Linked DNA regions of Ovis aries. The protein of the gene in region 1 interacts with the protein of each later gene in a pairwise test. Links are inferred from orthologs where the notes say so. Each region holds a gene or a part of one and is shown in the gene's direction. Other genes may lie near its edges.

What was found.
Region 2: the proteins of PTK6 (region 1) and EXOC5 interact in binary tests that used the Homo sapiens proteins (3 or more experiments, as listed by UniProt). The two-hybrid records come from large-scale screens. The link is inferred for Ovis aries from reciprocal best matches to the Homo sapiens genes PTK6 and EXOC5.
Region 3: the proteins of PTK6 (region 1) and FCHO1 interact in binary tests that used the Homo sapiens proteins (3 or more experiments, as listed by UniProt). The two-hybrid records come from large-scale screens. The link is inferred for Ovis aries from reciprocal best matches to the Homo sapiens genes PTK6 and FCHO1.

Annotation. Positions count from the first base shown.
Region 1 is NC_056066.1:53,827,598-53,835,626, forward strand, and holds the start of PTK6 (protein-tyrosine kinase 6), read left to right. Parts: upstream 1-2,972; 5' UTR 2,973-3,042; coding exon 3,043-3,272; intron 3,273-4,939; coding exon 4,940-5,061; intron 5,062-5,324; coding exon 5,325-5,485; intron 5,486-5,971; coding exon 5,972-6,125; intron 6,126-6,725; coding exon 6,726-6,887; intron 6,888-7,902; coding exon 7,903-8,029. Other genes in the region: tyrosine-protein kinase Srms, read left to right, coding at 147-340. UniProt on the Homo sapiens protein: Non-receptor tyrosine-protein kinase implicated in the regulation of a variety of signaling pathways that control the differentiation and maintenance of normal epithelia, as well as tumor growth.
Region 2 is NC_056060.1:67,663,664-67,671,174, reverse strand, and holds part of EXOC5 (exocyst complex component 5), read left to right. Parts: intron 1-336; coding exon of another isoform or gene 337-544; exon of another isoform or gene 545-1,349; intron 1,350-1,487; coding exon 1,488-1,596; intron 1,597-1,860; coding exon 1,861-2,076; intron 2,077-2,688; coding exon 2,689-2,877; 3' UTR 2,878-7,511. UniProt on the Homo sapiens protein: Component of the exocyst complex involved in the docking of exocytic vesicles with fusion sites on the plasma membrane.
Region 3 is NC_056058.1:5,138,412-5,145,065, reverse strand, and holds part of FCHO1 (F-BAR domain only protein 1), read left to right. Parts: coding exon 1-44; intron 45-413; coding exon 414-689; intron 690-2,365; coding exon 2,366-2,478; intron 2,479-2,583; coding exon 2,584-2,671; intron 2,672-2,825; coding exon 2,826-2,934; intron 2,935-3,845; coding exon 3,846-4,001; intron 4,002-4,293; coding exon 4,294-4,426; intron 4,427-4,877; coding exon 4,878-5,077; intron 5,078-5,946; coding exon 5,947-6,002; intron 6,003-6,524; coding exon 6,525-6,654. UniProt on the Homo sapiens protein: Functions in an early step of clathrin-mediated endocytosis. Has both a membrane binding/bending activity and the ability to recruit proteins essential to the formation of functional clathrin-coated pits.

The DNA of each region.
Region 1 (8,029 bases):
CCGGGGATTGCTGAGCCTGGAAGGGGTACCAAGCCTGGAGGCTGCCTGCTTGGCAGGGTCTGCCCAGGGCTGGAGGTGGGCTCCAGGGTGACTCCCAGGCCAAGGGAAGAAGCACCTGCCCAGCCTCTCTTCCTGCCTCTCCCCAGGGATGAGCAACCACGAGACTCTACAGCAGATCTCACGGGGGTACCGGCTCCCGCGCCCGGCCGCCTGCCCGGCTGAGGTCTACGCGCTCATGCTGGGGTGCTGGAGGCGCTGCCCGGAAGAGCGGCCAGACTTCATCACACTGCGGGAGAAGCTGGGCACCACTAGCAGGCGCCACCGCCCCACCCTCACATGACCCGGGCTCCTGCCCAGAGACCCCTCTCACAGGACAGTGTTTGCCAGCAATACCTGCTGCCCAGAACTGGTGCCAGCCCACAGAGCCTCTGGCTGTGGGCCTCACACCCTGACACGTGCTGACACACAAAGCTTGTGCACACGAGGCAGACACACGCGGACACCCGCTCAGACAGGAGAGGGACCGGCGTCCTCCACCAGGGTGACTAGTATTCCCCAGAGAGGGAGGGTCTCAGCAGAGAAGCCCAGACAGAGCCCACATTCGCCCTGACCTCAGGGAGACACTGGGCAGAGAGGCCTCCTGCCCGTGCCTGCCTCATCGAGCCCCCTCCCACAGTCAGGAGCCTCGATGGGTTGCTGTGGCCTTCTTGCAGCTGCCAGTGCTAGGGCTTTGGCAGGCCCAGGGCGCTGGCCCCACTTGGCACACAGACTGGCATAGCTGCTCCCTCTTGTGGGCCACCTGGGCCTGACGGCTCAGCCCACCATCTGGTGGATCGTGCCCGAGGAAGAACTGGACCTCACGTGCCCACCTCCACCCCAGGGCATCTTGGCATCCACATCCGGGGATTCAGAGGCAGCACACCCCCTGGGCTGTGGGCAGGAACAGGATGGTGGGGGAGGCTGCAGAGGCCAGCTAAAGAGCCTTTCCCATGCCCCTGGGGCTGGAGCAGAGAGAGAGGGAGGGAGGGAGTTGTCAGACCACAGGAAGCTCAGACTGGTGACTAGGTGACTGCGTGTCGCTCTGGGTGGTTCTCTGTGGGTGGGGCAAAGGTCAGGGAGGCATCATGCCTCAGAGCTGGGGTCCTGGGTGCTGGCTGACTGTGCAGGGTTGGGGTGGGGCAGACACTGATGCTCTGGCGTCTGGGCACCTGGTGACCACTGGCCCTCCTGTGACAGGAAGCAGCCAGTTTCCAGGTGCAACTGCTGCCCTGGGGCTGATCTCAAGCACGGCTTTGTCACAGGACGTGCGCTGTTGGCTTCACCTCACCCTGCCGGCTCCAGTCCCATGAAATGGACATGGACAGGGATTGGGCAGGTGGGGTCCACCCTAAGGGTTCCCGACTGTCATCCTGGGAGCCCCAGGCTGGCAGCTGTGCTCCAGAGGCCTGTGGGACAGAAGGGGCAGAGGCATCATGGGAAGCTGGGACCCTAGGGTGCAGATAAGTGACCCTCCCGCCCCAGGGGCTGCTCAGATGCTCAGAGAAACAGTCTGTGCAGGGTTAGAGAAACTGGGGCAGGGGACTTCCCAGAGGGGAGGGGAGGGGGCCCTGGAGGGTGAGGGATCCCTTGAGCAGAGAGGGGAAGTGAGAACAGGCCACTTCAGGGCCCCAATCACTTTGGTTGTGGGTCAGAGCCTGAGACATGGTCCCCAGCATCACCATCCTCAACCAGGCAGATGGGGGAGGGGGCAAGAGGGTTTGGCCCGAGGCTTTTGGGACACCAGGCAGCTGGGCCTCAGCTCTGCCCTGGCATTCAGCCCCTGACCCCTCTCTACCCTCTCCTGGGAGAGCTGGGGTGCCCGAGGGTGAGGGCTGGGCTCCTCTGGCTCAGGTGGTTCCCAGACCAAGAAGCCTGTGGGGCTCGGGCTCCAGCCGTGTTGAAGGACTCACCTTCTTCGTTTCCTGGGGTGTGTGGGAACTGGGGCTGGCAGGCATCCTGGGCAGGGAGGAGCATGCTGGGTGGGGTGACAGGAGAGGCAGGTGTGCGTGGGGGTCACCGGCGTTTCCCAGGGGCATGTCATCAGCACAAGCTAAACAGGTTTGATGCTGATGCCCTAGTGAGGGCCCAGGCCTCAGCCTCAGATCCCTCCCATTTGCTGGTGTGATGGGCAGAACCGGAGGCCCTCTGGACAGAGCTCAGGGGCGGGGCCCAAGGGCAAGGGGGTCAGAGAGTTCTGGCCAACGGTGAGGGGGTAGGTGTGCAGGGGTGGGGGCTTCAGAACTTCTCACCGCCCAGCCATCTGTCCGTCCCCTCTGGGTCCTCCTTGGTCAGAACCAAGCAGGCTTGTTCTTGATCTCAGAGAGGCGGATGGTGCCTAGTCTCTTCTCAATAAAAGGGAAAACGCCCACAAGCAGGATTGAGTGTGTGAGTCCCTGCTCATTGTCCTCACAGCCCTCCCATCGGGCAGAGTCCCTGGCACCCCAGCCTCTGGCCGGGGAGGAGGTGCCTGGGCCTCGGGGGAGCTCCTCCGGGGGCAGGCAGAGAAGCAGCCCTGGGCTTCTGGTGGGGACGCTGCTGGGAACTGGCCATGCTGGGATCCAGGCCCAGCCACACAGTCCGGGGGCTTTGGGGGAGGGCGTGCCTTGTCCCGCCCCTCCAGCTCCAAGTCCCACACCTCCTGCCTGATCAGTGACTCCCCTCTCCCCTCTCCTGGCGCTTAGGTCTGGCCACGTGGCCAGTGGCACCTGTGACCACTTGGTGGGCAGCTTTCTCGGCAGGTGTTAACTGGTCAGTTAGTGCCCAGACTGACCTGGCCCAGGGGGTGGCCCTCAGGGTGGAGCCTAGGGTGCCTGAGAAGGCCCGAGCGGGGCTGTCCTTGGTGGCATAGGTGTGGCTGGCACGGCTGCCTCATCACAGGGATATGGGTGGTGGCTCAGTGGGGCAGGGACAGACTGCTGGGAACAGCCGTGCCCACATGCTGCTCCCAGCTGGACCGGAGAAGGTGGCAAGGCCAGACGGCCCAGTTTTGCTGCTGCACCAGCCATGGGATCCAAGGGCCAGGCTCCCCTGGGCCCCCAGTATGTGGGCCTCTGGGACTTTGAGGCTCGGACTGCTGAGGAGCTGAGCTTCCGGGCAGGGGACCTCTTCCACGTGGCCAGAAAGGAGGAGGAGTGGTGGTGGGCCGTGCGGCTGGATGGGGCGGGCCGGGCCCTGGCTGAAGGCTACGTGCCCCACAACTACCTGGCTGAGAAAGAGACGGTGGAGTTGGAGCCGTGAGTGTCCCTGTGGCCCTGGTGGGTCACTCCAAGGCACCCCCATCCCTGGGCTATGCAGCCCCTCTTGAGCTTGGGAAAGGAGTCTGTGGGGACAGAGCTCTGTGCCTCCGTGGCTGGCCTCTGGGTGCGGGCAGGCGCCTTGGGCAGCCACAGATTGGGAACCCATGGCTCCATATCCCTACCCCTGTCCTCCCGAGAGGCCGGGCCTACCATCCTGGTCTTGGGATCCCTGGCTGGGTGTCTGTGTGTGACTTCCGGGGAGGGGGTCCTGAGGCTGTGGTCCCTCCCCTGGGCTTCCCCATGGTCAGTGCACGGTGTGGGACCCAGAGAGGGCAAAGTCTGGGCCTTCTGGGGAGTGAAGCTTTGCTCCCCTTCCAAATACCTGAAATCAGACATGTGGTCTCATCAGAGGGAGTGGGAAGGCTGTTGAGACAGGCCAGCCGGAGTGTGGGCCACAGACATGCTTCCTGTGCCAGCATGACTGCCTGTCACTGGCGAGATAGCTCTGGGAGGTGTCTACAGTCCTGAGGGGCTGCCCAGGAATCTTGGGCCACAGGAGTGGCCTGGCCTGGGCTGCTCACGACCCGAGGAGGTTCTATGGACTCTGGGTAGGCAGTCCCTGTGCGCCATGCGCCCCACTGATGGAGTGCCTACTGTGTCTTCCTGGAGGGACACAGCACACACTGGATGGCCTCAGGCGGGATCAGCATGGCCAGGGCAAAGGCCCCGAGTCCCTGGGAACACAGCACATTTGAGAAGTGGAAGAAGGCAAGGAGGTGGGGTTGGGAGCAAAGGGGAGAGACTCCAGAGGTGCTGGGCAGGTGGGTGGGAGTGGGCTGTGAACCCCACAGGGCTCAGTGCTGGGCAGTGGTCCTCTTGTGCGGGTGCTCACATTTCAACAGGGCCTGAGGGGTTGAGGGTACAAAGGGCAGAGCGGCTTGCAGCAGAGGTTCCCTGGGGAGTCCCACTGGCCCCACCTTGCCCTCCAGAGTCCAGGCTGGTCCCTGCTCTGGTGCTGGGAGTCGGGGTGTGAGAATGGGTGTGTGCTGGTACGTGTGAATCCTCAGATCCCAGGGCTTTTGAGCACCATGTGTCTGTGGCCCCAGAGGGAGAAGGTACCACAGGGTCACAGGACAGTGTAGCCCAGGAACTTCCCTGGTGGTCCAGTGTTTCAGATGCCGCGCTGCCATTGCAGGGGTGTGGGTTCCATCCCTGGTTGGGGAACTAAGATCCCATACCCTGCATGTTGTCTGGCAAGGCCAAAATGAAAAAAAAAAAAAAAACAACCCCACAAAAAACCCAAACAAGATGGGTCCAAGTGCATGGCTGCAGAGTCACATCTGAAGTTGGGGATGGGTCGCTGCACCCATAGGATGGGGGGCTCTATCCCCACAGACAGGGGATGCCCCAGGCAGAGTGGTGGGGGGCCTTTCCCACTTCTGGATCTCCAGGCCTTTCCTGGTATCCAAAATTGACCACTTGGGACATTTGGGGTTGGCAATGGGCAAAGAAGGGTGCTCTGGGTCAGTGAGTGTCAGAAGGCATCTGTGGGTTTGGGCTGGAACACAACTCAAGGAGGCAGAGGGTCAGGTCAGGTGGGGGCTGGGACTCAAGGCAGGGGCACTGGGGGGATCTGCTCTGCTCAGGGTACCCCCATCCTGCAGGTGGTTCTTCGGCCGAATCTCTCGCTCGGAAGCTCTGCACCGACTGCAGGCCATGGGCAACGAGCAGGGGTCCTTCCTGATCCGCGTCAGTGAGAAGCCAGGCGCCGATTATGTCCTCTCGGGTACCCACTTCCTGCCCTCCCCGCTCCACAGCCGCCTCCCCACCCCCGGGCCTGACTTCCAGACTTCTGGTCCCTAAACCCTTCGTGCATGTAGAGCTCAGCCCCTCTGGCCTATCCTCTCCCCCGCCCTGGGACGTCTAGACCTTGCCCTGGGAGCTCTGACCCTTGGTGGGCGAGGGCCCCAAGGTCTGGGCTCCTGTCCCGAGGTCCTGTTGGGTCCTTACTTTCTTGGCACCTGCTCATGAGTGCCCCACTCTGTGCAGTGCGGGACCAGCAGACCGTGCGCCACTACAAGATCTGGTGGCGGGCCGGCCGGCTGCACCTCAACGAGGCTGTGTCCTTCCCTGGCCTGTCCGAGCTCGTGGACCACCACAAGGTCCAGAGCCTGTCCCACGGCCTGTGGCTGACCTCACCCTGCAGGAAGGTAGGGGCCCCTGATCCCCATGCCAGACCCTGGCCTCCCCACTGCCCCTTACAGGGGTGCGAACCCTCCAGTGGAGATGGGTGTGGGTCTTTGCCTCAACTGCCTGGGGACCCTTGGGGACACTCTCTGGGGACTCTGGCAGCCAGTCAGCTGTGTTTGTACAGAGCCGGGCATGGGGGGAGGGTGGGCACTCTCACCCCCGGGTCAGCAAGAGGTCAGCTGTGTTCCTGCCATGTCCTGAGTCTCTCCGGCCATATGCCCTGGCCGGCAGACAGACAGGACTTTTGTCTGAATGGCAATCAGGTCAGTGTCACTGGTTCAGAGCAGGTGGAGGGTGCTTTTTGTCTGCTGGACACAGAAGGGGTCAGCTTGGCTGGGGGCAGCCTCTGTGAGCCCGGCTACATGCTGGACACCAGGACCCTCCCCAGCAGGACGTGGCTGAGGCTGACTTCATGTGGACGGGTGCCCCCGCCCATGTCCCTGCAGCACGAGCCAGAGCCCCTGCCCCACTGTGATGACTGGGAGAGGCCACGGGAGGAGTTCACGCTCTGCAGGAAGCTGGGCTTCGGCTACTTCGGGGAGGTCTTTGAAGGGCTCTGGAAGGACAAGGTCCGAGTGGCCATCAAGGTGATCGCCCGAGGTCAGTGGGCCAGTGGGGGTCGGGTGGCCCAGCAGCCTTGGGCCCTGACAGCCCACCCACCACTCAGCACCCTGATCTGGACCATGTGCGGCACCCAGTGCGGCGTCTGGGTGGCTTTCTGCTTTCATGCCGCTGCCCAAGTGCACTTATCCTGACAGGAAATTTTAAATTCTTAATGTAAATGGAAGAAAAGCCCTTAGAATAAGTAATCACCAGAGATCTGAAAAGGTTCCTTTAGACTCTTCTTAGATGAACCACCAGAGGTTCAGATCACCCACTTCAGGAACCGGGGACCCAGGGCTGCAAGGGAGCACATCTAGGGGGAGTTCTAGCTCCACATCAAGCTGGGCAGCGGTAAACCCCATGGGGGTGTCTGTGGTGCCTGGGGTGTGGGGAGAGCTGCTGGTGGGCATAGTAGACCCCCATGTGAACAGTGGGGATGAGGCTGGGTCTGACCTGGCATCCTGGCCTGGGAGATGGGGTATCTGGAAGGGTGTCCACATTTCCTGAGCTGCTGCTGGTGTGGCTGGGTGCAGGGGCAGGCTGAGGGCCCCCAGCTTCTCCAGGGGCCACACCCAGCGAGGCCGCCCACCCCCACAGCCGACCTTCTGCACCAGCACACGTTCCAGTCGGAGATCCAGGCCATGAAGAAGCTGCGGCACAAGCACATCCTGGCTCTGTACGCAGTGGCGTCCGTGGGGGACCCGGTGTACATTGTCACGGAGCTCATGCCGAAGGGGAGCCTGCTGGAGCTGCTGAGGGGTGAGTGGGGGCACCAGAGTGACTGTGCCCGCTGGAGGGAACTGGAGATGTGCACAGATGTGTACCCCCCACCACGCACAGGACAGCCTGGGGTTCTGGGGGGTTCCTCAGCACTTTTCTGCTTACAAAAGGATTTAAAATATCTTGTGATGAATGTACCACTCGTTGACAAAATACAGATAAGATCAAAGACAAGAAAAGCCTCCCATCACTCCTGCACCCACAGTGAACTGAGGCCTCTTTAGTCAAAGCCTTGGTGTGGCTGCCCACCCCTCCTGCTACTGGGACACACAGCCTACTCTCACTGCTGTTCTCTCTTCCTAGAAGACACTGTCCCTTCTTCTGGTGTTTGTGAACATGCTTACACAGCCACACACCCACACACACTCGCACGCCGTGTGTCTCATTGACGCACATACCTCATCATCTATAACAAGAGCCGTCACTTAACACCCAGACCAGACAACCACAGCCAGTGAGCAGAGGCGCCACTGTGTGCAGACGTGGCCTGACTGCAGAGATGCTGCAAAGAAAGAAGTGTGCACGCAGGATAAACTACACCCAGTATGCATGTGTGCACATCAGGGGGTCTATTTTAATATAGCAACATTGGGAATACTTTCCATGTGATAATTGCAAGCAGTTTCCCATATCACTAAATGTTCATCAGAAATGAAATCCTGGTAGTCTGTGAGCCACCACGTGGATGTGCCATGTCCACTTAGGTGCCTGTTGTTGACACCTTCTAAGGTTTTCATGTAAATAATGCTGGGCTGAACATCTGTGTACATATGTCTGCGTTCTTACTTCTTCAGTGTTGATTCCCAGAAGGAAATTCCAAAGGGTTATGTGCTGACTGTATCAGCCTCTACAAGGCCTGCAGTGGCTCCACAGTTCCAATTTGAAATCAGGCCATCTGCCCTTTGCCCCAACCCCTCCCCTGAGCACACGAGTCTGCAGAGAGGACTTGGCCCTGGCTGGTCCTGTTCACCCTGGCTTCCCCTGGCCTCTGCAGACTCTGATGAGAAAGCCCTGCCCATTTCGGAGCTGATGGACATTGCAGCACAGGTGGCTGAGGGCATGTGCTACCTGGAATCGCAGAACTACATCCACCGGGACCTGGCTGCCAGGAACATCCTCGT
Region 2 (7,511 bases), on another chromosome or scaffold:
TTTCCCTCTTCCTCTTCCTCTCTCCAGACTCCTTAAAAATGGTATGTAACCCGGAAGATTTCAGGCTTATATCTGAAATGCATTAAATTAACATACCAATTTTTAAAAGTAACTTCCATTGAGTGAAAACCCTACATTCGAAAAATTTTTTTGATGTTTATTTTAGTTAATTACCTGTTCATAATATGGAGCAGTGGATTCTGTATTTTGAAATGATAGTGGACATATGTTACTGATGATAATCATCTGTTTATCAGGCATTTATCAGGCATTTGCTATATGTGTTGCACAATACAAGGATCTTTACCTGTAAAATTTCATTCGCCTGCAATGCAGGAAACCCAGGTTTGGTCCCTGGGTTAGGAAGATCCCCTGGAGAAGGAAATGGCAAACCACTCCAATATTGCTGCCTGAGAAATCCCATGGACAGAAGAGCCTGGAGAGCTGCAGTCCATGGTTTACAAAGAGTTGGACACAACTGGGTGATTATTACTTTCACTGGCACAGTACAAGGATCTTTACCTGTATAATTTCATTTAAGTAAGGAATACCATTTCCATTTTACAGATGAGGAAGTGAAGGCTTAAAGAAATGAAGTAGTTTGCTAGAGATCATACAGTTAATGCTGGTAGAACTGGAACTCAAATTCTAAAGCCCATGCTACCAGGTTTAGGCATATTTTTACTTCCTGTAATTCTTTTTTCTCTTCCATTCAAGAAGACATATACGAATATAAGTTACTTATAGGAACTCTAGCTCTAAATATCTTTATCTTTTGCCAGTCTATCCTTTCCAGCTTTGTTTCTTGCCAATCTGTCCTTTCCCAGCTTTGTTTTATTCACTGTTAACGCTTAGATTGCTTGTTCCATATCTTTAATTACTCCCTCGTAATTACCCTAAAATTTATTTCCTTTGATCATAACTATCTTACAGATCCTAAACTCTGGATTAATGCAGATTCTGTTATTCTGATAACTGGATGGTTCATTGCTGTTGGAGAATGTCGCAAAACTCAGACATTGTTTGTGCCATTACAGACTCATACTTCATTTCTCAACTGGGCCTTCAGTACCACTTATTCAGCCTCCTGCTTATCCTTAGACTGAAACTCGGGTTCTTCTCACCTGTTCTTCCAAACTTTGGCCATTCCTTATAAGTTCTTCTTTCTTACTCCCTTCCTAAGCATTCTCCAAATATACTTGTGAAAGAAATGAATTAGTGACAGTCTTCTAAGATCTTTAAGATTTCCTTAAATAAAGTAATGGACAAATGAATCTTTGCCCTGTGTTTTGAGCAGGAAGCTAATAAAATTAAGATCTCTTTGCTATCAAGAGCTAGAATTTACTTGTTTTATAATCTGAAGTATACCAATAGTAAAGTAGTTTTATGGTGACATGAAATTAAATAATTTAAATTTAATTTAGTATAAATAATATAAATTAAAGTAAATTAAATGGATCAAATACATGGTATTCTCAATTCTGTAGGACATTAAATTGTATGATTGGACAAATGAAGCATATCTTGGCTGCAGAACAAAAGAAAACAGATTTTAAGCCAGAAGATGAAAACAATGTTTTGATTCAGTATACTAATGTGAGTAAAATGATTTAATATGCTAGTAAGAATATCTGCTTTATTCATATTCTTATTAACATTTCATTGATGTATCTTATTATGCTCCAAGTGTTTTTTTATATCTGCTTTATTCATATTCTTATTAACATTTCATTGATGTATCTTATTATGCTCCAAGTGTTTTTTTTTAATTCTTAGAGATTAATGAGAAATTATATGTATTTTCTCCTTAGCTAAGCTAATACATATTTCTGTGTAATAAGTGTAGAAAAAATTTTACAGGCCTGTGTTAAAGTCTGTGCTTACGTAAGAAAACAAGTGGAGAAGATTAAAAATTCCATGGATGGGAAGAATGTGGATACAGTTTTGATGGAACTTGGAGTACGTTTTCATCGACTTATTTATGAGCATCTTCAACAATATTCCTATAGCTGTATGGGTGGCATGTTAGCAATTTGTGACGTAGCTGAGTATAGGAGGTGTGCCAAAGACTTCAAGGTATGTATTCACAAATATCAAACTTGTAAATAAGTTCAAGAACATAAGTCAGATCATAAAAATGTATACTGACATAACCATCGGGAAAGTTTATAACTTTTGTTGATACTGTAATGAGACAGATCTGACATTTCCTAAATGAAAAAGTATTACTCCAGTCAGTATTAACGCATTTTTGCTTTGAGCTTTTAGAAAATGCCATATTTTAGTTCCATAGTCCAGATGACCTTATTAATGCCCATAACTAATGCTGTATATCATATATCAAGAAAATATGTTCTTTCTTCATGTATATCTCTCTGAAATTAGTTTCCATCCAATGTTTAAATTATTTTAAAAAGCTGTAAATTAATGATAACTAGTTCTACTTCACAAAAGTATAAATGATTATTACTGTTTGAGTAAATTGGCACAATATGAATCTTTTCAAAAAGATTATGTTGAGTTTATATAATGTCTGAAATATTTGAGTTTTTTAACACTTTGGTAGCTTTTAAAAATTCTAACATTGAACTCTTTAACAGTTAATTCCTGACAGTACATAAGTGAGAAGAATTTACAAACTGATTATAAAACTAGAAATATTTTTTTCCTTCTCTTATCTCAATTCAGATTCCTCTGGTATTACAGCTTTTTGATACTCTGCATGCACTTTGCAATCTTCTGGTAGTAAACCCAGATAATTTAAAGCAAGTCTGCTCAGGAGAACAACTTGCTAATCTGGACAAGAACATTCTTCACTCCTTCGTACAACTTCGTGCTGACTATAGATCTGCCCGCCTTGCTCGACATTTCAGCTGAGGTTGAATTTACAAGGGAAATGTGTTGTACTCCAGCAAGCCTTGGTTGAAAGAAAGCACAGAAGGTTTCTTATGACACAGCCAACATTTTATTGAAAAATGACTGTTTGGAAAAACAGCAGCCATACTTACCCTTGAGGATTTATTTGAAATTTGGACAATACTAAGAATATTTTGGTTTTTCCTTAAAAGTTTTAATTCCATTTCTGAACTTATATAAATCTCAAACTCTGTGAAGCTATATGTCATTGTTTTCATCCTGGAAAATGTTGATGTCAGAAGGTAAATGAGATTGTTACCAGTATTCCAGTTCATGTTCTTTAACATAGTCCATTGGGAAATTTCAGCTTCCTGTTTTGCACTAATGATGGGTAAAATACAGCAAGACTCAATTATTATTTATCAGTTTTCAATGACCTTTACAGCAGTGGTAATTGTTAATCAGATTATTTTTAAGTTTTCCTGGAGAACTTTTTACCTATTTCAAAGGTTGAAAATTGGGCATAATTTCTGTAGTTGGTTCATTGAATTTTTTCTGAGGTACAACAGTAATACTATTCCAAAAAAATGTTATAAAGAAAACTAAAATGAAATACATTTTATGTAGGTATTAGCAGTGTGGATCAAAATACATCTGCTTTCTGGGTAAAAGGAAAAAAAAAGTTTACAATTTCTTATTTGGTAAACAGATTTTAAGCCAATGCTAGCAAGAAGTTAATAAAGCTACCTTATTTTATATTTCTTTTAAGATAAAGTAGAGGATGTTAACTAAAGGACCATATTTATTCATTATTTTAATATTATAAGGGAAGTAAAAAAGTGAGGTATAGACTAAATGGTGCATATGAGAATTACTGGCAGTGTTTAGCAGCAATGCAATCCTTTAAGATTTTTATCCTTATGCTAAACTGAAAAAAGATGGAATGGCTAAACATGCAGGTAGTCTTCTCTTTTAAGAGGAATTGGGAATTGATAGTCAGCATTATATTCTAGTCCAGAGATGAACTTTGTAAGGACTAGTAGTTTTTAAATATATAGTGTCTGTCATTATCTTTTTCAAGGCATTTCTGAAGCGATTCCTACTGAGTGTAGTTAATTGAATTGGCTTAATATGGTGACATAATAAATCACTTATAAAATTTTAAATATCAAGTGGAAATTAAAAAAAATTATTAACTATAAACTTTCTCTGCAAGAATGCATTCTTAGCTGTATGTAGTGTTTCAGCTTCCATTGTATTATTCGTAGTCTTCCAGGAACAGATAAACTTCAATGTTTGACTCATTTTTGGCTTTTCTTTTTCCTCTAATGTAGGCTTTTTGGCCTAATTTTGGAAAACTACATTTAAGAATATGTTTCTGAATGTTCAACTTTACCAAAACTTCCAGGTCCAGAGTGAGCTAGCTACTATTTAAGTTACTTTTAACTGAATTTTCTTCATTTTCTGTTTAGCCCAGTGTTATCTAGGTAAGCAAGAGAAATAAAGTATGCCAACATTTATCAAAGCATTTTAGGAAGTTGTGGCAGCTTTGGAAGGCTGTCTAGTTTTCTGTTCCTTAGCCAAAGGAAAGCCAGAACAGGTTTTGGATATTAGAGAGTCATATGCTTGTACTATTGCCATTTTAGAAAGCTCTGATGTGAATTCAAATTATACCTCTGTTACTTAAAGCCAACAATTTTAAAGCAGTAGTTTTACTGGCCATTTGAACTTTGTACACAGTGTCAATTTGTTTAAAAAAAAAAGGGGGGGGGGAATATCAAATAAAACATGAGAGAACATTATAAGACTTCCACATCAGAGAAGTGTTTCAGATTATTTTGTTTGGATTAATTTTTAAAATGTAAAGCATATATTTGTTGCATAGCTATTTTGTTGATTTTTATTTTTATATTTGAGTTATGTGCAATATTTTCCATTATGACCATTGACAGGACACTAACAAAGAAAACTCATAAGTGAATACTTAATTTAGAAGTGTTAACATTATTGCTCAATAAACAAATTCCCTGCAGTTGTTTTTTTATTTCACTCCATTTTTACATTTTGAAGACATCATACTGAATTTTATAAATTATTTTTATTGAATTTTTAAGATGTTCCTTATTTTCATGGCATAGGTCTTCTCACTTCCTTTTTAAGCAGGAAAATACTTGACTATATAATCAAAATTAGAAACAAAAAATTTCTCTAAGAAAAAAATTTATTGTATAAAACAGTGTGCATTCTTTGGATTTGTTATATTTGATTTTTAAAGTAGTTTTCATATTAGTGGACAGTATGAAATTTTGTCCCAAATATATATGACTCAAAAGAGATGATAGATAAGTAAACATATGCATATGGTAAAATTTTAGGTAGTGATAAAGGAGCTTTATACATTAGTAACTTTAGCCAACATTTGAATAAGGAGAATCTTCATAATTTTCCAGTTTCACATGAGCTAACATGCAATGTTTAGAAAATATTTTGAAATTAAAAATATGCTCTTAAACACTGCATTTTTAGAATATGCAGAAACACTCAAGAAAAAGCTTGAGTGTATTATGTTTTCATAAAATGATACAGAAAGTGAAATATAGAATGCAGGTGATATTGAAAACAACAGCTAACCAAAGTAGATGAATACTTCTTATGAGGAATTATTAACATAATGGCTGGATGCATCCTTAGACAGTTGGCTATCTGACTATTCTAAGACAATTATTAGTAGCCTCATTTTGAGTACCACCATTGTTGTAAATCCCTAGCACCTTTCTTCTTTTAAAGAGAGCTTCTAAGTAAGTTAATTTATGGTATAGTTTAGACTATCTCTTTTCTCTTTCACTTGAAATATTTCACATCATAAAATAATTATCACCCAGTAGATAGATTCAAAGTGGAGAATGTGCTGCTTCCTTAAAATGCCTTTTGCTCATCTATGATGTTGAATATTTACATCTAGTTAGATAAAGAGATTTTTGTTCCTGAAATGCCAGAAAACCTGTAAAGGTGGTCATATTTATATATTACCTAAGGCATAGGCTGCAGTCCATGGGGTCGCTAAGAGTTGGACACAACTGAGCGACTTCACTTTCACTTTTCACTTTCATGCATTGGAGAAGGAAATGGCAACCCACTCCGGTATTCTTTCCTAGAGAATCCCAGGGATGGAGGAGCCTGGTGGGCTGCCGTCTGTGGGGTCGCACAGAGTCTGACGCGACTGAAGCGACTTAGCAGCAGCAGCAGCAAGGCATGCTTGAACTGCATGTGAGAGTCAGGTATCCTGGGTGTGTAATTTGTTAGTGACTTCAAAACCTCCTATCTTGGAGTTTAGCTTTTTTTAATGCAGAGATATTCTGTGTATTACTCTTATTTGCCCTTTGACTCAGAAGTGTGAGATGTTTTCTAGAAGCATAATTTCTAGTGCAGAATTTGACATACAAAGCATTCTGTGCTTTCATCCATTTAGTTTAGCTATATTCAGTTCTCTAGTACTTCTCTTGGCTTGAGAAAGTCTGTCGTGAAATACATTGTGTACTTTGGAGGAAAAGAACCAGTCCATATTGTTACTTTAAGTAATTCTACATAAAGTAAAAATGGCCTTTAAAAATTTTGATGCATAAAAAAGACAATTATAGCTATATTTATTGACTTAAGTCCTGTGCACTGTGCTAAGCCCTTTGCATATGTTATTTCATTTGGTTTCAAAGCAGCCCTAAGAGCAGAGTACTATTATCTCCATTTGAAGATGCCCATTGCCCAGAAAGTTGTAAGTAGATCTGCTCAAGGTCTGCAGCTAAGTAAAAGGCTCAGATTGAAACCTGAATCATTCTCGCTATTTGTGCTTTATGCACTTTTCTCCCTATGTAACATTAAATATTAAATAGGTCCTTTAGTTTGATGGGCTCATTAGTTTTGTTTAATCTTTCCTTTCATCCAGTATTTGGTTCTCATTGTAGTGTTTAGATTATGAAGTTGAGATACAGAGCTAATTAATTTACTCTTAGACTTTTTTTTAATGTGTCCATTGTGTAGTCATACACAACCCTCAGTGTAGAAGAGAAATCTGACACATTAGAAAATAAGAATTTTAATTGGTGATTTGAAGCAGCTAGGTTGATAACCTTGGGCTTTAAAATTTTATAAGTGGTCATGCAATTTAATTGAATATTAAGTTTGTGCCTACTAGAAATCTTTCCTTCAAAAAGTTCTTTAGTAGTATTTTGTGTAGTCATAGTGCTACTTGAGTTATAATTTTTGCAATAGAAAGAATTCAGATATTTTGTGCCATAGGAGTAAACGACAATTCCACCTTTAAAGATAAGAAATCAGTATTTCTGCCTTCAGAAACAAACTATTTTAATGTCATAAGTTTGCCAGTTCTGTTGATCATTTAGTGCATTGGTAGTGGTAAAATAGCTAATGCTAGAGTGAAAGCATAAGAGAAAAAAGTACTCAGTGTATTAGCAATAGGCTGTCATTTTCATGTAATCAAATATTGTATATTTAATGTTTTTAAAATTGCCTTAACTCTTAACTTTTATTCTTACTACTGATCAGTCTTTCTCTTTCCTAATTTAAGGGGAGAAACAACCCTCAGTGTAGAAGAGAAATCTGACACATTAGAAAATAAGAATTTTAATTGGTGATTTGAA
Region 3 (6,654 bases), on another chromosome or scaffold:
TGGGCCTACCCTAGAGTCCGCCTTGGACCACGAAGATTTTACAGGTGATGGGGGTGGGGCCTCGGGGCATGGGCGTGGCTACAGGAGGGTGGGTGGGGCCACTACCAGAATAGGAGGCTCGGATAGGCGGGATGAGTTGGAGGGAGGAGATGGGGATCCTTTGTGGGTCAAAGTGAGGGTGGGCGAGGCCACAGCAGGAATGGGCGGAGCTGGAGAGAAGGTACGGCGTTTGTGGGAGTGGGATGACAGTAGCGGGTGGGCGGGGCATCAGTAGAGATGGACAAGGCCTGCTGAGGAGGGCAAGACATTGAATGGGGGCGGACCATCCTCAGCATGGGCGTGGCCTGCGAGAGGATTGACAGGACTCCGTAGGAGTGGCGTCTGGAGCTGGCTGCCCCCCTTCCCTCCCCCAGGCTCTAGCAGCCTCGGCTTCACCTCCAGCCCCTCGCCTTTCTCCTCCTCGTCTCCCGAGAACGTGGAGGACTCCGGACTGGACTCACCATCCCACGCGGCACCGGGTCCCTCCCCGGATTCCTGGGTCCCACGCCCCGGCACCCCACAGAGCCCACCTACTTGTAGGGTGTCACCCCCGGAGTCGAGGGGCACACAGTCCCTGCTGCCATCAGATTCGCCACAGCCCCTTGCAGCATCCCCGAGCCCCTGGGGGCCGGAGGCTGTGGCTGGAGGAGGTGAGTCCCTCTACCCCTGGTCTGAGAGTTTTCTGAGCCCTGGGCGATGAGAGAGTTCCTAATGTGGCCAGGGCCTGAACAGGGTGTTGAGGGACACAGCTGGGACCCAGGCAGGCAGAAACCCTAATCCTTGCAGGGACATTAATGAGATGAATGTTTAACAAGGCAGGAGGTGACAGGTGCCTGGTGACGGCTCCGAAGCGTAGGGCCTCCTGAAGAGGCGGAACTGAGATTTGATGGAGGTGAGGATGAAGCCAGGTGGACTCCAGGAATGGAATTCTCAGCAGAGGAATGTGCAAAGGCCCTGGGGTAGAAGGGGGCTAGGCCCTTTGAAGAACAACGAGCAAGGAGGCCAGCGTGACTGAAACAGAATAATGACAGGGAGAAGAAGGGAGTGGAGGGGCAGATGTGGACAGGGAGATGGGACCAGATGGGGCCCAGGGATCCCAGGGAGAATCGTGAGTTTTACCCCTAACAAGGTCAGAGCCACAGCAGGGAGGGGCTGTGAGCAGAGAGGGGTAAAACCTGCTGGGGTTACCGGCTCTCTGACCACTTGATCGGTGAGGATAGGAGCTGGAGACTAGGGAAGTGAGTCCAGGTAAGTGGTGATGGGGTGACAGTCGGGAGAAGCCGCTGGTAGACATGGGGCCCAGCGAAAAGAGGAGTCAGGGCGGAGGGTCTGAGAGCAACTGAGAGGAGAGGGAGGGGCAGAAAGAGCAGGAAGGATGGGGCGGAAGAAGCTGGGGTGGGCGTGTGCAAGGCCGGGAGGGAGGAGGGGATTGGGTGTGGGCTGGCTTCTGGGCCCTGAGTTAGAGGGGCTGCAGGCTGTGGCCACGTGAGATCCCCAGCACTGGGGGCAGAGGGTACCATCCTTGGTGTAAAGAAAGAGCCTGGTTGGAACTGGTTCAAGGGAGGGCTCAGGGCTCAGAGGAGTGAGTGCAGACCGCAAGTGTAGACAGATGAAGTTACCAGAGGTGTATCGCAGAATTAAGGTTCTCAACTGGGCCGGTTCTGCCCCTTTATTCTCCGGCACACTTGGCAACAGGATCACTGGTACTTGACTGTCACCACTTGGGGGCAGGGTACACCTGATGTTTGCGGAATGGAGGCCAGGGAGGAAGACAGCCCCACCACAGCAAGGGATCTGACCCGGCTGAGAACCTTGGGACAGACAGCATTGTGTGGGGTGTAGGTGGGCAAGTAAGCGCTTGTAGATGGAGCAAAGCAGGAATACCAGGGAAGCAGGAGAGCAAGGGGAACTGAGGTGTTAACACCGAGATTAGTTAAATTAGAAGGGTGTGACTCGGACACTGGCCAGGGTGGGAAACCCTCTCAGAGAGGATGAAGGTCGTAGAATTGCCAAATGTTGGATAAAAGGTCTCTGCCAAATCCACCCCCCTGCAACAATGTGCCTGCCTTCTGAACATCCAGCCCTTGTTTGCGTACCTCCAGCGATCGGGAGCTCACCCCTTACTGAGCCACCAGTCTAGTGTCTGGGAGACTCAAGGTTGCATGTGGTGTCTCCAGTCCTGTCCAGCACCTTCTCTGCAGCCCGAGGACTTCTGACCATCAGGCGGTTTCCCCCTGTGAGCCCGATTCTCGGATTGGGGCTGAATTCTTCCCCGAGAGGCCCAGACAGCAGCTGAGCCATGTCTGTGCTTACGCTTGTTCCCCAGACTTGATGCCTGTACCTGCTGACTTTGCTGTCAGGGAGGGTCTGGCAGCCCCATCCCGGAGACCGCGCTCCAGGAAGGCATCCTGTCCCCTCATGCGCAGCAATGGAGACCTGGTAGGGTCGGGGGCAGCAGGAGCTGGGCTGGGGGGGTCGCCTCCAGGATCAGCCTCGGGGCACTTCTGCCAGGGTGTTCACAGGCCGGCTTCTCTTCCCTTCCAGTCTCGTTCCCTGAGCCCCTCTCCACTGGGCTCTTCAGCTCCCAGCTCCATCCCTGAACGGCCCAGCTTCACATCCCAGACCGGACATGGTATGTGGGTCCTCTCTGGGCTTCAGGGTCACCTTCTCCAGTCCGGGTGGGTGGCCAAGATACAACAGAGGCTTTGTCGCAGAGGGCGGGGGTTCGGGAGCCTGGGATCTGTGCTCACTCTGTCTGTCCCCCATTCCCTCCCTGCCACCCCCAGGAGTCTCTCGGGGTCCCAGCCCTGTGGTCCTGGGCTCCCAGGATGCCCTGCCCGTGGCCACGGCCTTCACTGAGTACGTCCATGCCTACTTCCGTGGCCACAGCCCCAGGTACACAGTGGTGGGGCAGATGGGGACAAGCAGACAGGGCTTCCTGGGAGCTGTGCATCTGGGTTCCAGCAGGGCCAGCGTTCAGGGGGGTTTCCTGATCTGCTTTACCACGGAACGGCCTCTAGGCCCATCCTGAGAGCAATAGGAGCCATAAGGGGCATTTGAACAGGCTAAGGCAGTGAGGTGGGCTTCCCAGGGGGCTCAGTGGCAGAGAATCTGCCTGCCACGCAGGAGATTCAGGTTCCCCGTGTCGGGAAGATCCCCTGGAGAAGGAAATGGCAGCTCGCTCCAGTATTCTTGCCTGGAAAATCCCATGAACAGAGGTGCCTGGCAGGCTACAGTCCACGGGGAGGCAAAGAGTCGGACATGACTTAGTGACTGAGCGGGTGTGCACACACACACAGGCAGGCAGGCAGGGCACTGATGTTTCCATGGTGGAGCGGAGCTCCTCCGAGGCTGCTGTGGGCATCACACTGCAGGAGCAAGACCAGAGGCCAGCCCACAGAGCGGGAAAGGGAAAGGTGACTCGAGGGACCAGGAATAATCTGGGGGCAGCGCCCAGCCGAAAGACACTGTAAGATGAAGCCACAAAGAGTATCAGACCCAAAACCCAAGCTGAGGACTGAATGGTTTGCTTTGAGCTTCCTGGTGGCCTAGGGGAAAAGAGAAGGGGGAAGGGAGTGTCCCTGTCTCCTTCAGCTCATTGTGGATTCTTCCTGGTGTCTAGATTGCTGTCCAGGCAGGGAGACAAGGGGAGGTAGCTGGGGCTGGGATGCTGCCTGGGTCAGGGCCTTGCTGATTCTGATGGACCTGGTGAGCCACAGGCTACAGTGGAGCTAGTAGCGAGGGGAGGAAGAGGAGCTTGGTAGAGCCCTAAGCCAATGCCCAGTTTCTTCAACTCCCCCCACCAGCTGCCTGGCTCGAGTAACTGGGGAGCTGACCATGACCTTCCCTGCCGGCATCGTACGCGTGTTCAGCGGGACCCCACCCCCTCCCGTCCTCAGCTTCCGCCTCGTGCATACGGCCCCCATTGAGCACTTCCAGCCCAACGCTGACCTGCTCTTCAGGTACCATTAGAAGAAGGGGTGCATAGTTGGGTGGTACCAGGGGCTGGAGGAGGCCAGGCGCTCCCCGGCCCTGAATTTCTGTTCTGCCTCCTGGGATTTGCTGTGTGACCTTGGGCAAGTCACTCTCCCTCTCTGAAACTCACTTTCCTTCCCTCTTTTGCTTCCCACCACCCTCCTTTCCTGGGAGTTACACTTTCCTGGTCCCAGGGTTAGCCTGGGAATCTGCATCTTCAGGAGGCCTTTGGTGTAGGCATCTCCCAAGGGTTGGGGTGACTCTTCTTGGTCTCTGCAGTGACCCTTCCCAGAGTGACCCAGAGACCAAAGACTTCTGGCTCAACATGACGACTCTGACTGAGACTCTGCAGCGCCAGGCAGAGCAGAATCCAGCTGCCTCCTACTACAACGTAGTGCTCCTGCGGTACCAGGTGGGCCGGGTGGATGGGGTGGGGCAGAGCGGGCATGGAGGATGGTGGGCAGGGGCAGGGTGAGCAGGCAGCTCTCACTGGGAAGAGCAGTGGGAGTGGGGGGAGCTGTGGGAGGTAGGCAGGGTGGGCAGTGTAAGGGGGCCAGGACTCTGCTGGGGCAGACGGCTGCATTATGCAAATTAGAAGGGGCCTTTTCCCAGGGCCTGTCCCCAAGACTGTGTTAGAATGAGGCACTCTATTGCCCTCTGCTGGACATGTCATGTAGTACAATCTCTCATCAACAAAGAGCTCCCTTGGGGTATCAGGAGCCCCTCGGGTGTCACAGGCAGTGCAGAATCAGGCCATTTGAATGCTGGGTGACATGGCAGGGGCAGCATGGCTGGACAGTGTGTGGTGTGGCAGGACAGGGCAGCTCAAGCCACATCCTCTCTCCTGTTCTTGCTCCCCCTAGTTCTCCCGCCCCGGTCCCCAGTCCATGCCTCTGCAGCTGAGCGCCCACTGGCAGTGTGGGCCGACCCTCACTCAGGTCTCGGTGGAGTACAGCTACCAACCCGGTGCCACAGTCGTGCCCACGCCACTCACCAATGTCCAGATCCTGCTCCCCGTGGGGGAACCTGTGACCAATGTCCGCCTGCAGCCGGCTGCCACCTGGTGAGGGCGAGCGGGAGGCCGGGAGAGGCTCAGATCCTAGTAGACCGCCCTCCGATGCAGCAGCTGATGGGTCCACTGTAGGCCTGACCATTCACTGTGGGCTCACCTTGCTCAGAGGCTTCCCAAAGAAGCTTGGTGTTAAAGAACCCATCCACCAGTGCAAGGAGACGCAGGAGATGTGGATTCAGTCCCTGGGTCAGGAAGGTCCCTGGGAGGAGGAGATGGCAGCCCACTCCAATATTCTTGCCTGGAGAATCCCCACGGACAGAGCAGCCTGCGGGCTACAGTCCAGGGGGCCGCAAACAGTCAGAGAGGACTGGAGTGACTGAGCGCGCTTGCACGTGCCTTGCTTGGAGCTAAGGGCAATATCATTAACAAAAGTAATGTCTGACACCAAAAGCTTCCTACCTGTTAGGCGTGTCCTACATCTCTGCATACACTGACTGGCTCGGGGCTTTTAGCAATCCCTTGAGGGGTGGATCACCATCATCCCCACTTACCGAGGGGGAGCTGAGGTATACAGAAGCAAAGTCGTTGACCGGAGGTCACACCAGGATGTGAACCAGCCACCCACTCGTGGCCCCGGGCTTTTAGTCACTGCACAACTTTGTTTTGTGCAGAAGGTAGAACCAACAACCAAGAAACCGAATTTATAGGACCAAATGCATCACCTACAAGTGCTATGAGGCTGAGGAGCCTTCAGGAAACAGCTGCTCCACACCCCCGCCCCCATTTTCACACATGGGGAAACTGAGGCCAGGGAGGGGACATGGCTTTCTTGGGTCATGTAGCCAAGAGGCAACTGAGCTGGGACCCTGGGCTCCGAATATCTTTTCTGGGAAAGACCTGACCTGATCTCTTGATGCCAGGAACCTGGAGGAGAAGCGGCTCCTATGGAAGCTTCCAGATGTGTCTGAGGCAGGGGGTGAGTTATGGTCGTACATAAGGGCTTGGAGGTCTCAAATGGGATAGGCTTATTTAAACTACGGAAGAGGGAATTCCCTGGCAGACTAGTGGCTAGACTCCACGCTTTCACTGCAGAGGGCGGGGATTCGATTCCTGGGCAGGGAACTAAGATCCAGTAAGCCATGGGACGTGGCTAAAAATGTTTTGTAAATAAACTAGGGGAGAACTAGGGATGTGCTGGAGCAGGGAAATGTAGGCATCAAGGAAAGCTTAAAAGGGCTTTGACAATGCGGAAGAGAGGGCATCCCAGGGGGTGGGCGCAGGAGATGCACACAGGAGGTGCAAAGGCCCTGAGGCAGAATTCCTTTGGAAACCACACACAACCCCAGCAAGACCAAAGGAAAAGGGTGCAGGACAAAAGAAGTCGTCAAAGGGAACAGAGCCACAGGTCAAAGGGCTTGGGTGCAGGGCTGAGGAGGAGCCCAGGTCACTGGAGGGCTGGGGTGAGGAAAAGGGCACGGCTGACCTCAGACCTCCCCAGGCTCTGGCCGCCTGTCTGCCAGCTGGGAGCCATGCTCTGGGCCCAGCACGCCCAGCCCTGTGGCTGCTCAGTTCACCAGTGAGGGGGCCACTCTGTCCGGCGTGGACGTGGAGCTGGTGGGGAGTGGCTA